Linked DNA regions of Rhinolophus ferrumequinum. The protein of the gene in region 1 interacts with the protein of each later gene in a biochemical or structural test. Links are inferred from orthologs where the notes say so. Each region holds a gene or a part of one and is shown on either strand. Other genes may lie near its edges.

What was found.
Region 2: the proteins of GPRASP1 (region 1) and OPRD1 form a complex in vitro, tested with the Homo sapiens proteins (2 studies listed by BioGRID and IntAct). The link is inferred for Rhinolophus ferrumequinum from reciprocal best matches to the Homo sapiens genes GPRASP1 and OPRD1.

The regions. Positions count from the first base shown.
Region 1 is NC_046284.1:52,170,614-52,177,887, forward strand, and holds the start of GPRASP1 (G-protein coupled receptor-associated sorting protein 1), read right to left. Parts: upstream 3,004-7,274; 5' UTR 2,876-3,003; intron 1-2,875. Other genes in the region: ARMCX5 (armadillo repeat-containing X-linked protein 5), read right to left, coding at 3,016-3,039, 4,762-6,219. UniProt on the Homo sapiens protein: Modulates lysosomal sorting and functional down-regulation of a variety of G-protein coupled receptors. Targets receptors for degradation in lysosomes via its interaction with BECN2.
Region 2 is NC_046292.1:19,764,685-19,772,573, forward strand, and holds the start of OPRD1 (delta-type opioid receptor), read left to right. Parts: upstream 1-4,871; 5' UTR 4,872-5,103; coding exon 5,104-5,330; intron 5,331-7,889. UniProt on the Homo sapiens protein: G-protein coupled receptor that functions as a receptor for endogenous enkephalins and for a subset of other opioids.

The sequences.
Region 1 (7,274 bases):
ATGAAAATCCCAATGGCATTTTTTTTGTATAAATGGAAAAGCTGATCCTAAAATTCATATAAAATTGAAAGGGACTCAGACTAACAAAAACAATCTTGAAAAAGACAAAGTTGGAGCACATACAGTTCCTGATTTCTAAACTTACTACAAAGCTATAGTAATCAAAACCCTGTGGTATTGGTATAAAGATATTCATAGAAATGAATGCAATGGAATTGAGAGTTTAGAAATAAACCAACATGTCTGGCCAATTGATTTTGACAAGGATGACAAGTCCATTTAATGGGGAAAGAATGGACTATTCAACAAAAGGTGCTCAGACAACTGGATTCCTATATGTAAAATATGAAGTTAGACCCTTTTCTCATACCATATACAAAAATTATCTCCAAATTGATCAATGACCTAGACCTAAGTTAAAACTACAAACCTCTTAGAAGAAAACAGGGGCAAATCTTCCTGGTCTTGGATTTGGCAATGGATTCTTAAATATGACACCAAAAGCACAAGCAACTAAAGAAAAAGATAGATAAATAGGACATCATAAAAATCAAAAACTTTTGTGTGTCAAAACACATCATGAACATTAAAAAAAAAACCTACAGAGGAAAAAAATATTTGTAAATTATGTAGCTGATAAATGACTTGTATCCAGAATACATCAAGAACCACTACAATGCAACAAGCAGAAGACAACCCAATTAAAAAATCAGCAAAGAACTTGAATAGACATTACTCCAAAGAAGGTATGTAAATGACCAATAAGCATATGAAAAAAATGCTCAATACCACAGTCATTAGGGAAATGCAAATCAAAATCACGATGAGATACCACTTCACACCTAAGATAGCTATTAAAAATGGAACATAAGTATTGGCGAGGATGTGGACAAACTGCAACCTTTGTATGTTGCTGGTAGAACTATAACAAGGTACAGCTTCTGTAAAAAACAGTTTGGCAGTTCCTCAAAAAGCTAAACATAGAATTACCATATGGCCCAGCAATTCTGCTTCTAGGTTTATTCAAAGAATTGAAAGCAGGGACTTGAACAAATACTTGTACATCAATGTTCATTATAGTATTATTCATAATAGTAAAAAAGTGGAACTAAATCAAGTGTCCATCAGCAGATAAATGGGTAAACAAAATGTGTGTGTGCACGCGTGCGTGCACAAACACACAATGGAATATTACTCAGACATTAAAAGGAATAAAGTTCTGATACATGCTTTACAACATGGATAAACTTTGAAAATGTTATGCTAAGTGATATAAACCAGACACAAAAGGATAAATATTGTACGATTCCACTTATAAGAAATATTTAGAATAGACATACGAGTAGTCATAGAGACAAAAAGTAGACTGGGGATTACTGAGGGTTGGAGGAAGGGGGGGATGGGGAGTTATTGCTTAATGGTTACCCAGCTTCTCTTTCAGATGATGAAAGTTTTTGAAATAGATAGTAGTGATGGCTGCACAACATTGTCAATGCAATTAACGTCACTGAATTGTACACTTAAAAATCATTAAAATGACAACTTTTATATTATACATATTTTACCACAGTTAAAAAAAATTCAAAAGCATGTTGAAAGTGATGGACCATGAATGCTTAGTTGAGTGGGGAATGGAGGTAAAGAAGGAAGTGGCCTACACAAAGGGAAGAAGCAGAAAAGATAAGGGACAGGTGTGTCTAACAACACACAAATTTAAGTTTGGGATGGGCAATGTACTTTACCAGATGCTGCGTAGGGGTACAGAGTTACAAAGTGTTCATATATGCTAGCTCCAGATTCAAACTGCAAAGGTTTGAATCTCAGCTTTGCTACTAACCAAATCAATGAGCTTGGTTTCTCAGCTTTCTCACATGTAAAATGTGGATAACGGTACCTAATCCATAGGAATGTTTTAGCAATTAAATGAGTTAATACAAGTAAAGTACATAGAATAGTATCTGGTACAGAGGAAGCAATTCAATAAATGTATAAATGTTAGTAATTATTGTAACTATACATAATAAATCGTTCAGGCATTGGAGTCAGACACTCTCAAACTCGAGCTTCCCCCTCTACGCTCACTGTTCCTAAACACAAGCTCCAACTTACTCATAAGGCTCCAAGGCATGGTATAAAGATACAAATGCTAGAATAGAGGCACAAATAAAAAAAACTCTGGAAATGCAGAAGGAGCTATTAATTCTAACATGGGGACAGGGAGGATAAGGGTGTCAGGGAAGACTTTGAAAGGACCTGGCAATTGAGCTGAGCCTAAAATAATGAATAGGTTTCCCACAGGCAGGAAAAGGGTTATAAAGGCATTACAGCATGAGTGAACAGCATGAAAAAATGCACAAAAGGATGTAAGTGCATGAAATAATCAAGAAATAGTCCAGTGTTGCTTGAATATAGGTTACTTGGTGGGATATAATGAGAAAAAAAATGGAAAGGTGCTGAAGGATACAGAGCTTTGAAAACCTTGCCAGGAATTTGGTGATATTTTATAGATGAATTCCCACTGAAAGCTCCTCTTTTAAAATTAAGGGCATGGTAAAAGGCCAGTGGGTGCTAATAGTCCAGCTGTGCTGGAAGATTACTTGCTTTACTTCATGGCAGGAAAGATGAGAAACCCACACTGATTTTTACCCCCAGGTAGCAACATTTTAAGACAAGTAATGTCTGGATCAGCCTTGATACTAAATGGGCTTGCCTGAGTTATTTTTCCAAGAAAGGAGATGAAACAAGAGATGAAGTTTTGACTTCAAACACACCCCAGGAACAATTTGGAAAATGACTCTGTCTCCCATAATTCTGACCCAAGAAGAGACCATCAGTTTCTTGTTTTGATACAAAGACCTGCATATCCCACACTCACCCTTCTCTTTAGCTGATGGAAAATTCTGTAGCCATCAACTGGTTGTGTGCTCCACAGGGCATTTGAGACACAGAATATTTCCAAAGGGTCTGGTCCAATTGTATTTTGAAGGCACCCAACTGTGAAAGCAGTAACCACAGCTAGAATTCCAGGCTATGGGAGTTCTGTGGATTAAAAAAACAAGTTATAAAGAACTTTTAAAATCATCAAAGTTGCAACTGCATGTTGCAAAAAGCTTATCTGCTTTTTTTTCACCCTTAATGCACAAGCGTGGCTAGTTGTCCTTCATTTTTAACTCCTAGATATATGAAATGTAAGTTCAGATCTAACCTTAATAGAAATTAAACTAGGGATAGCTGCTGAAACTAGGGGTACATGACACCTTTTTGAGATTTTTCAGTTTAGGCCTTCCCCCTAATATATAAAACGTTAAAAGAGAAAGTTCAATAGAAAGTCCAGTATTTGTACACTGATCCTAATATATGTATACATAAAATGCTAAGTGTTATACATAAAACGTTAAAAGAGAAAGTTCAATAGAAAGTCCAGTATTTGTACACTGATCCTAATATATGTATTTCCAAATTCTGGGCAGTAAAAGAGGCAGAGGGTGGAAGAGGCAGAGGTGACCCCAGATCCCAATCTATACTCTGGCATTCTATGCCTCAAACCCCCAGCCAGAAGTCTAAACAGGAGGAGCTGAGGTATAGACAATGTAGCTTCAGCTCTGTAAACTGTACAAATAAGTAGACAGGACAGTAGGATTAGGGGAATTCATTTCTTCCTAACCACACACTGCTAAAGGACTTTGGTATCCTGTGGCTGTCTCCCAGAGCTGAACTCTGACCAAAAAGGGTCGGTAAAAACAGGCGCTGCCACCAAAGACAGGTGCAAATCACCAAGGCCAAAGCATTGGTCAGCAAATAAAAGCAAAGATGAGAGTAAAGTCACTGAGGCAGGACAAATGAGACTATCCATGAAGCAGTTTCTGTAGTTGGTCTCCAGAAGGATCCTCCTCTGAGGCCCAGGACTATCAGGGGAGGGAGCCTCAGATGAAGCAGTAAACCTGGTACTTCTAGATGGGGTAGCTGGATGTTGAGGGCATAGTGAGGCTAGGTTGTTTTAGAACCACACTTAACGTGGCTTTGTTGAATGGGGGTGAGAATCAGGAATCCTCTTGGGGGTTAACAAGTTTAAGGTATCCTGATGAGATATCCTATATGAAAGGCTGAGCACAACTTCTGGAACTCAGATCGGAATGGAAGTGTCTGGGTTCCCTTTTTCCCAAGACTGTGTCTTCATCCCCTTCTCCAGATCTGTCCAGATATCAACTAGTAGCATAGTCATGTCTTCTTGTAAACAGAGTGATTCTACTCTTTGAACATGAAACTAAAGGATCTGTCAATGTGAACTTGTTTTGTTTATAACTCCATACAGACAGTGCTGTTTGTCATCTTTGTGTTGTTTGTGCTTATTCCTCGAATTAGACTTCAACTGAAGAACTAGGACACTGTTTTCACCAGTTTTAGCATGCAACTTTATTAACATGTAAATGGAGTCTCAAATGAATACATTTATGTCAATATAAAGCACAGAAGAATGAATAGCTTACTCAGGATGAGTAGTTTCATTATCAGGTCATGTTATTACAAAAATACTAAAATTATCTCAATTTATATAGCACAATAAAAATCAACAAATATTCAAGCTCTCAAGACCATTTGGTATCCATAAAATTGCCTCCTTCAATCAACACAGATGACATAAATATAATAACTTACAATATGCACTGGATTCATATTACAACACCAAAAATTGTTCAAGGCTTTGTGAGAACATTCGGTTATTCAGAGTTTGAGTATTAATCGTGTAACTTTATCTCTCACCTCAGGATCACTGTGCTCTGCTAAGTCTTGGAGTTTCTGACCAAACTCTTTTGCTTCCTGGAATATGGAAATAAGCTCAGATTTAGTGAACTCTTCCTTGGTAAATAGCTTCACCTTCTTTTTGAATTGGAAATTTATATTCTCAAATATTTCAATGATATTAAGAATATTGGCCTTTGACTCATTCTTATTAAAAGGTGCAACCAATGATGACAGTACTTTGGCACTGATCAGTTCTCTTGTATTGGCTTGATTTTTAGACAAGCGCAAAAATACTTTTAAAACATAAAACTTGGTTTTGACACTTCCCTTGTTTAACAAGGTGAGGAAATCTGGAATATAATTGGCAATTGTATGGTGATCCTCAAATTTCACACTCAAATGCTCTAATAATTTTAGTCCAGCAAGTTGCACAGGGGAGTTCAAAGGATAAGTGATTATGTCCTTACAAACCTGATGTATGTGTGACTCTCCTGTTTTTGATTCTTCAGAAGACTCAGAATTATCATCCACCATATTTAAAGCTTTAGGGTGTTCTTTAACGTTGGGATTATTGACCAAGTTTTCAATCATGACAGTAATACCTACATCATGAATTATATCTTGGGTAAATGGATAAGCAGGACTGATTCCCATTATCATCTTAGCTATTTCGTGAATGAAAGGATCCTTAGTTAACTTAAGTAGGGCAACTAATTTATCGAACTCTTTAGGTTCTAAACTAAAGACACGTGATTTGCAGCGGCAGGCTTTTGGATTGGGCCCATACTTTTCCCTATACCTAACCTGTTCTTTGATCTCAGCTAAGGTCTGGAAGTAAGGCCCATTATAGGGTGGGATCTTGGTCAGAGGCCGAATCCCCAGAGGAGTTTCAATCAAGGTCTCAACCAGAGTCCAATTCCCTTCTGGCGGCAAGGATTGCTCCTCTCCCTCTATTGGGACTAGGACACTATACCTGGCCCTTGACCATGCTGCTGCTTTTTGCTTTATAGTAAGTTCGGGTTTGGGTGTGGGCTCAGGCTTTTCCTGGATCTTAGGTGGAGGCTTATAGACTTGATAAGGGGTCTCTTCCTCAGGCCAGAACCAGGACCCTAAACTAGGCTCTTCTCCAGTCCAAAACCAGGAGCAGATACTTTCTTCATTCTCATCACTAGACTCGATTGTAATATCAGCTCTGTCCCCAGTACGGAACTTGATGCTGGCCTCTCTCCTTCTCTGGGGCCTAGATCCAATACTGGCCTTATTATCAGCTTTGGCAAAGGACCTGATATTGGTTTCACTTCCAGCATCAGCCTTGACTTCACACTTGGTCACAGCACTGACCCTTGATGTAGGGATGGCCTTTGAATTGTTATGAGGCACTATACCAGGTTCTGCCAGAGGTTTTGCCTTAGTTTCAGCCATGATTCTAGTTTTAGTCTTAGCTTCCATCTTGCTCACTTCCCTTATCATAGCCATGGCCTCAGTGTAGGTCACTGTTTGTGTCCTCGTCACTGCTACATCCCAAGCATTGGCCTGGATCACTGGTCCTGTTTTCAGTTCTCCCTCAGCCAGTGCCTTGGTCTGGATCTTAGCCTTGGTTCTAGTGTTGGCAGGGCCACTGATTCCAGCTTTCAGGCCAGCTCCAGCCCCTCCTCTGCCCTTGCCTTAACCTTGGAGCCAGTAATGAACCAAATTAAAAGCAAGGTCAATTTATATACCCCACCCATCACAGTCTTGGCCCAAGGTCTGTTCCAGTTTGGTGTTTTCATACAAAGTCCAGTAGTCACTCAGCCCCCTTTCCAACTACAGGCTCTGCCAATGATATAAACAACGTGCAGAGGAAGGTCACTCGGGGAAGGGAAGGATGGCTGTGTGCCTGAGCACAGCCCTGTGGAGGGCGGTGATCTTCAGCCACTTCAAGGCCACCAGATCTGCCACTGAAGTTGGACCTAGGGGTAGAGGAAGGAAATGGGGCTTTGAGTCTCTTCCATTTTTTTTCCTCATTTTGATTATCACAGAGAGACAAGAGAGTATGGAAATTCAGTGCTAAGTGGAAGAAGTACATAATTAGCAATCTCTCCCTTAATTTTATATTCCTTACAACAGCGGTGCTACTTATCTTCTTTCCAGACACAAAACAGGAGTGTGGAGAATGCGAAAACTGGATGGGAGTGAAAGAGACTGAGGAATCCCTAGACTTGCTCTTTATTCCTAATGGACCCAAGCAGAACTTGACTACCTCATCCTATAGGATTACTGAGGAAGTCTCTACACCCATAGCAGCCTGCACTGATCCTCCTTTCCTTGCTTCCAATGATGACAAGCCCTACAGCACAACTACAGGGCAGATCTATGAAGAAATAAACAAACAGGAGGTTATGGAAACTGATCTATTGGTAGACACCTTGGTCCCTGTTCCCTATATTTATAGTTTGTCTAGTGTTTCCCTCCTCCACCTCCCCATTGCCCCACTTCAGGGCTGCTCCTCTTCCTCTCTGCTGCCCACATTTTTCTCTTCAGTTACTGTCTTG
Region 2 (7,889 bases), on another chromosome or scaffold:
ACATCGGGATGGGATGGTTTCCTAGGAATGCAGGACCTGGCTGTGCTTCCAGGAGGGGGACATACCCTAAGGGAACAGACAGATAATGGTGTCATGTAAACTGATCTGGGGGAGCAGGGAAGGAAGCGCTATCTCAGCTGAGATGAGACGGGCGGGCGCATAGGAGTGGGTTAGGTGACGAAGGGGAAGGGGAGCTAGCAGGAGCATGTTCCGGACAGAGGAACCATCATCACAGCAATCACTAGCGTATATTGAACACGGCCTATGTGCCAGGTGCTATAAAGCGGTACTGTTGTTGTCCCCATCTTATGAAACTTGCAGAAGAAGTCATGTGACCAGTAAGTGGTTGAGCTGGGATTTCAAATCCAACCAGTCTGAGACCAAAGCTTCCCTCTTAACCAACTAGATTAACCTGGAGGGGAGAGAAGCAGGTTATTTGGAGACCCACAAACAGTTTATTTTGGCTGGAACATAACATGCGAAGGGAAAGACGGTACAACAAGAGGCTGGTGAGGCTGAGGAAGGTGAAAGTGTGCAGATTCCTGCAGCCATGTTACTGCTTGAAGGCAGCAAGCCTGGTGCAGGGAGATCATTTCAGGGCTATTTCAGGAGTTTTAGCAAGAAATGGTGGTGCGTCTGACTGGAAGACAGTAGTAAGAATAAATAACAATGGCAGGATTTAAGGGTTGTCTGGGAAGAATGGACACAACTTGGTGATTGGTTGGAGGTGAGGGATTGGGGGAAAAAGAGGGGAGGCAAGAATGACTTTCAGGTTTCTGACTTGAGCAACTAGATGGCTGGTATCAACCTTATTTCTTTCCCCGATTTGCTGTGTATCCTTGGGGCTCTCACCCAGGCTCTCCAGCTGCCTGTCTTCCTAGCTATAAAATAAAGATAATGAAACTTGACCTCCCCATATATCCGAATGATGTCAATGTAAGATGAAGTCATCAGAGTGCTTCGAAAAGTCAAAAGTACTTTGCAAATGCAAGTGGTTATTATTTTATGGTTATTGCTAAGGTCCTCCCCATCCTGGGATTTGCAGATGGAGCCAGACTGAAAGGCAACCCAGGGGACCTTTCTGCTCCCTTGGAGGATGAGGAGTTGCTGTATTTTCCATCAAGCTGATCTGTCTCTTTGGCAGGTGGAAGCCACATTCCCACGTACTGAATTGTTAATAGCTTCCCCAGGGAGTTTCTTTCTGCTCCGACTCCTTCTGTGATTTCTGTTTCTCCACTGCTGACATCTTCTGATGCTCCGGTTGGCTCAGGATTTCCTGTGCATTTATGTTTTTGTTTTGTTCCCCTGAAGTCAAGGATGGAGACAAGACCCAGCAGAGTAGAACCGTTCCTTACCCCAGGTGCGTGGGGGGCTGTGTCTAATCTGTCCTCCACCAAGAGCAGGGACCGACTTGAGGGAAAACTCTGCCAGGCAGAGGGAGGAGCGATGGGTTCTTGTGTTTTATGGAGGCGACATTCTAGTTTCTGCTCTGAGAGGCAATGTAATGTGGTCATCATGAGACTGGCCTTTGGCGCCCCACAGATCGGGTTTGGCATCCTGGTTGTGGTTTGGGCAGGTAACCGAACCTCTGTAAAATGGAGCAACGATAGTAGGACCTCACACCTCTGGGGCTGCTGAGGATTGAAGAAGATCATCCACAAAGCACTTGGCCCAGTGCCTGGCACATAGCAAGTGCTCGACAAATGGCAGCCAACAAGATCATTTATGAGTTGTGACCACAGAAACGAGGCTGCCTTTTAAAGATGAATAGACGAGAATGCTCGCATCCAAGTAAGAACTGACCTCTTCAAAGTACTCACTTTGGGAGGCCATTGGGGAAACCCTTTTAGATGCCTTTCAAGTTTCCACCGTCCTTCCGATGTCCTCAATGGAGGCCATTCACGTGCACTTGGCTTGTGTGCTAGTCAGTTTGCGCTGCTGTAACAAAGTTCCATGACCCGGGTGGCTTATAAACAACAGAAACGTATGTCTTATAGTTCTGGAGGCTGGAAGTCCAAGATCAGGGTGCGGGGTGGTCAGGTCCTGGGGAAGGCCCTCTTCGGGATTGTAGCCTGCTGATTTCTTGCTGTGTCCTCACATGAGAGAGCAGACGGCAAGCAAACTCTTAAAAGGGGCAGTCCATAACTGCCTGCACGGTTTCTTAGCAATTATGGTATTTTGCTCATGTATTGGGTCAGTTACGTATCTTTCCAGCATCTTGACTGTGAGCTCCTCTAAGAGAGCAATGGTCTTACTCATCCTTATGGTTTAATAACATCTGCTCAGGCAGCCTTTGTCAGTTGGCAGAGAATCTGTTATTTCACCAGATCCTCACTCAATCCTTATAGATGAGGAAACTAAGTCTCAGAGAAGTGAAGGGAATCCTTTTTCTGTCTTTTGCCTCCACCATAGCTATGGTTTTCCACCATAGCAGTTCTGTCTCCAGGAGGGACTCAAAAAACCTTGTGGAATACAATTTAAAAACATACTCTTCAGCCCAGTGTGGCTTGAGAGTGAGAATGAGGTGTGGAGAGTGGATGGAGTCAGAAGACGGCAGCAATAAACCCTGGTTGGGACCAGACTGGGAGGGCCCCAAAGGCAACTCCAAGGAGTGAGAGTAGACTTGCTTGGTGACGGCCAAAAGCCAAGGGCTGGCCTGGAACTGGCATCTAGTATTTCAGGTCCAAGTAAGATGTGATTGCTGAATTTGTGCAAAGGGTTTCCATTGCTTAGAAGAATTCCTAGGTCCTCTAATAAGCTATGTCTGCTCTGACTCCCTCGCCGAATGGGATCTCACCCACGTTGGAACTGAACTCCCCATTCTATCACTCATCGAGCACCAGGGGCTGTACTAAGGTGGGGGTACATGAGTGCACAAGACCTATTGTAAAGGGGATGCACAAAACCCCAACGACTACATAAATAAATACGGGGGAAATTCTGTAAAGAGGAAGTATATGATGCTACAAGAACAAATAACACGAGGACCTTGTTTATTTGATAGGAGGCGGGAGGGGACAGTTAGTGAAGTGATATTTAAGCTGAAACGTGAAGGATAAATAGCACTTAGCCTGGGAAGTAGCTGAGACTTCCAAGTGGAATAAATAGAGTGTGCAAATGTCCTGATGTAGGAAAAAGAATTTGGCTTGTTGGAGGGGTAGGGAGGGGGCCAGAACTCCAATAAAGTAGCCCTTTTCTTTTCCTGCCCTAATTTCTTTCCTCTGGCACCAGAAAAGTCTCTGAGTACCAGGCCCTTTGGGACGGGGAGAGTTTTAGCAGCAAATGTGACCACAGAGCAAAAATCATCTGCCTGAAGAGTCCTTAGATGGTTGAGTGGAAAAGCCTTGGGGTGAGGAGTCTACTGTAGCTGGTAGAGAAGCTTGGACAGCAGCTGGGAGGGGCAAAGAGAATGGAGAGGAGGCTGAACTTGGGAATTCTGCTTTTGTTCTTTCTGGGAAAAGGTAAGAGGCTTGCATGTAGATGGATGACTCAAGCCAGAGAGTGATATGAGTGAGGGGGTTCTTGCCCAGACACTTTAGGGCCAAGAGCATTGTCCCAGAGCCTAGAGCTCGGGAACCCCAATGTGGTCCCATTCCATTCCCCGTTGGGACCTTTATTCATCCAACTAGTATTTCCTGAGCACCCACTCTGACCCCAGCTGTCCACTGGGTGCAGGGATCAATCAGGCCTGGTTCCCAAAAGAGGAAACAATTTCTCAGATAGAAATAATTGCCATATGGGATAATTCAGTGTCTAGCCTAGTCTTCTCATCTGTAAAATGGGGACACTAATAATAGAATCTACTCCAAAATGTTGATGCATGGATAAGGCACTTATCACAGTGCCTGGAACAGAGTAATGGCTGCAGAGCGAATGTTCCGGGGAGGACAGGAGCCCCAAGAAGGAGGATGGCTCTACTAGATCTGGGCTGGTCAGGTTAGGGAAAGAGTGTGGGAAGTTCTCCCCTCCCATCTGCTCCTACAGCAGCCACAGTGATCTTTAGGGTGGTCTTTGAGACCCTGCCCACCCTTCTCCGAACGCTGGCTCCCTGCCTTCTCTTCCTGGCCTCCTTTTAGTCCCTTTGACCACAGTGTCTTTGCACATATGGACCTGTGGTTCCTTTGGTTTCTTCCCTAAGTTAGTTCATCTCCAAACTTCACGTCTCACTTTCAATGTCATTTCCTCAGCGAAGCCGTCATGACCTCTGGGTTTTGTAGCCTTTGCCGCAGGAAAGCCTCGCTTCCTTCATTTCCTCAATTTGTAACTGTATCTTCATTAGTGTAATTTTAGAATTGGTGTCTCTCTCCTCCACTGGGCTATAAGCCCCAGGAAGTAGGAGCTGCATCTAGTGAATCCCCAATAGTACCTGGCTCTTATACTCAGCACCCCCAAAAAATCTGTTGAGTGAATGAATGGGGTGCAAAAACCCATGGATAATAATGGTTATTTATGGAGCACTTCCTCTGTGCCCGGCACTGAGCTAAGTTCTTCACTCACATCATCTGAGCTAATCACCCCAACAACCCTCTGAGGGAGGTGGTGTGATTATCCTCATTTCACAGATGAGGGTAATCAAGTTGAGAGAGGTTAAGTGATTTGCTCAAGGTCACTGCTCTTGAATGCAGGGACAGGAGGTGGGATTCACATCCTGGTCCTTTTGACTCCAAAGCAGCAAAGGGGTGTGGGGGGGGTGAGTCCGGCTGGGTGGGGTACACCCGAGCTCTTGAGGCATCTCTAGGGAGGGAGTGGGAAGCCTCCTTGGCCCAGCACCAAGCCGGTGGTGCAGAGCCCGCCCCTGGTCCCCAGCGTAGACTAGCGGCCGCCTCCGGGCCACGTGGTGCGCGCGGCGGGTGCGTCCGAGGAGCCCGCAGAGGTTCCAGGCTCAGAGCGCTCCGGGCGCTGAGAGCGGGCGGGCGGGCGCCAGGACAGGGCCGGTGCGGGCGGCGAGGTGGGCGAAAGAGGCGCGGAGGCAGCCGAGCGGTCCGGGCGCTGCAGCCAGCGTCTTCCAGGCGGCGGCTTCGACCCTTGGTGCGCCCATCATCCCAAGTCTCTGCGCCCAGGGCGCACGGTGGGGAAGGATACGGCTCCGGCTCCCCGGCCGCCATGGAGCCGGCCCCCTCCACCGACGCCGAGCTGCAGCCCCCACTCCTCGCTACCACTTCGGACGCCTTCCCCAGCGCCTTCCCCAGCGCGAGCGCCAATGCGTCGGGGCCGCCAGGTGCCCGCAGCGCCTCGTCCCTCGCTCTGGCCATCGCCATCACCACGCTCTATTCGGCTGTGTGCGCTGTGGGGCTGCTGGGCAACATGCTCGTCATGTTTGGCATCGTCCGGTGAGTCCGCTGTGGGCTGGCGCCGTGGGTCTGGGCCTGGGGTGAAGGTGGGCACTGTGGACTTGGGACCCTGACCTCGGACCCTTGACTCCCAGGGCCTCTATATTTCCTGCAGGGGGCGCATGGGGCCCAGCGGGGAGACCTCTTCCATTGAGAGGAAGACACCGGAATTTGTATCTGTGTGTGTGTGTGTGTAACTAAATAACATTTGATCAACTGTTGCATCCCCCTGCTTCTGCATCAGGCTGTGTGGGACAGTTTGGCAACAGTTTGCGTCTGTCACAGTTTGTGGGTGGGTGGTTCTGTTTGTGACAGTACAAATGCATTGTATGTTTGGATCTCTGAAACCTTGCTGGAGTGGGCAGAGATGCCCAAGGTGCCCTGGGCCTGCGGGGAGACAGCTGTGTGTGGGCTGTCTATGCAGGTGGGGGCACAGGAGAGAGAGAGAGAGAGAGAGAGAGAGAGAGAGAGAGAGAGAGAATTTGTACCATGCTGTGGGAGCACTTACCAAATCACATTTGGTGATCATCTGTTGATGTCCCTGTGTTGATGTGTGCTTGTCCCACACTGTCAGCTTGTGATTTCTCTCCGAATGAGAATGTGACAGTATGACTGTTGTTTCTTGTGAACCCCGGAAACCCCAGAGCATCCAGAGTGGCCTTGGACACTTGTGTCTGTGCACCTATGTGTGTTCGCAATAGAGAGCCCATAGTTCCTGGTACAGTGGGCAGCAGCTGTGGGTCAGCCAGTCAGTTCTCTGCACCTGGACCGTTGCCATCTGGTCAGGAGCTCTGGACCTTGTTTAGAAAGGCCTCACGTCTTCCTCACAAGTGCCCTTCCCATTTTCTCCTCCTCTCCTAACAGTCTTTTTTTTCCTTTTTTTTTTTTTTTTTTTTTTTTTTTTGTCAAAGGCAGCAGTGGTTTGTTTTTGGCTGGAGTTGGTGCTTTCACCTCAGGAAGTGAAGCTCTCTTCTTAGTATCTGTGGATCTTCACAGAATATAAAACATCGCCAGCTTACCCCAGAAGCAGCCCCCGGACCCAGTTCTACCAGTTCAGACATGGGCAAAGGGATTGAAAGGAAACTCCTATCCTTATGATAACAAAGAGGCCCTGGTATTTACCATTAGTTGGAAATGGGTCCTCCATGCTGGTTGGTCGAGGGCACAGCCCTAAACCTCTGGGCAGTGGTGCCACCAGGCAGGGCAGGTTGTGGATCCAGGTTGGAGACATGAATGTGGTCTCAGCCCAGTTACTGACGCTCATCAGAGTCAGGGCAACCATTCCCCCAGCCCCACCTCCCACCTGCCTCAGTTTCCCTGTCTGAAGGATAGCAACCTAATCTCGACTGAGAGATACGAATTCCAGAGTATGGGTTGCTGCAGGGCAGAGCATAGTGCACTGGAGTGCGGTACTGGATGAGGGTGCGTGGGTGTTGAGGGGGCTTTGGCGTAGAGATCTCTGAGGGATCTTTGCTCCCCCAGGAAGAGTGGAGGCCACAAGAATTTCCTGTGTTTTCAATGACTCATCACCAGCTACAGTGGGAACATTCCCCCAAGCACAGGCAGGATTGATCTTCGTTTTGCATTTTTGTTGGTGATTCTCCTTACTTTGCCTTCAGAGATTGTACAGGCTGTAGAATCAGGCCAACCTGTGTATGTATTAATCCCAGCTCTGCCACCAACTGGCTCTATGACTTGGGTAAGTCACTTAGCCTCTTTGAGCCTCACTTTCTTCTTCTACAGAATGGGGGTAATAACAGGACCTTCTTCTACAGGGTTTTTGTGAGGTGTTGATGAGAGAGCATATATAGTGCAGCTGGACCCAATAAATGGAAGCTGTCTGTGTGATAAAGAAGAGGAATTTTCTAGATCCTTCAGAATCCAGGGCCTATTAAAGAAGGGAGAGTAAGGGAGGCGCTTGTCTCAAGATGGGCCTGAGAGTGGCTACAGTTCTGCGAGTTCCAGGTTCCTGGTACATACTCATATGCCCTCTAGGGGAGCCCTAGCTACTCTAGTCTGGGGAAAGCTGACCATCAGTGTGTTCAATTCCACTTCCAGCCTCTTCCCAGGGCCTCTGGCTGGGGGGCTGATGAGCACAGCTCCCCCACTACCGTTGAGCCAGGGGAGAGCCTCTCACTTCTGAGGCTCCACTCAGGGAAGGTCCCTGGCTCAACATGCTAGGGGTGCTCCCAACCAACCTTCCCCAAATCACATTGTCAAAGGTATTCTGACAGCAGCGTAATGACCACCCATAGGTCCCCATGTTGCTAAGACATTTCCCGGGCCAACCATCTAAGTGATAACTGTATCTCTGTGTCTGAGTGATCTAGTCCTCACCTACCATCCTGTGGGGTAGGCATTAGAAGCCTCATCATTATCACCCCATTTTACAAATGAGGATCTGGGGTTCAGAGAGGGGCAGATTCTTAGGTTCTTGTTCTAAGGTCCAACAGCTAGACTAGACCCAGAGCTAGAACCCTGGTCTTGTGACTCTAAGTCCAAAACCTTTTCCAGAGCTGCCTGGGATAGGGGACAGAGAATTGTATGGAAGGATGGGGC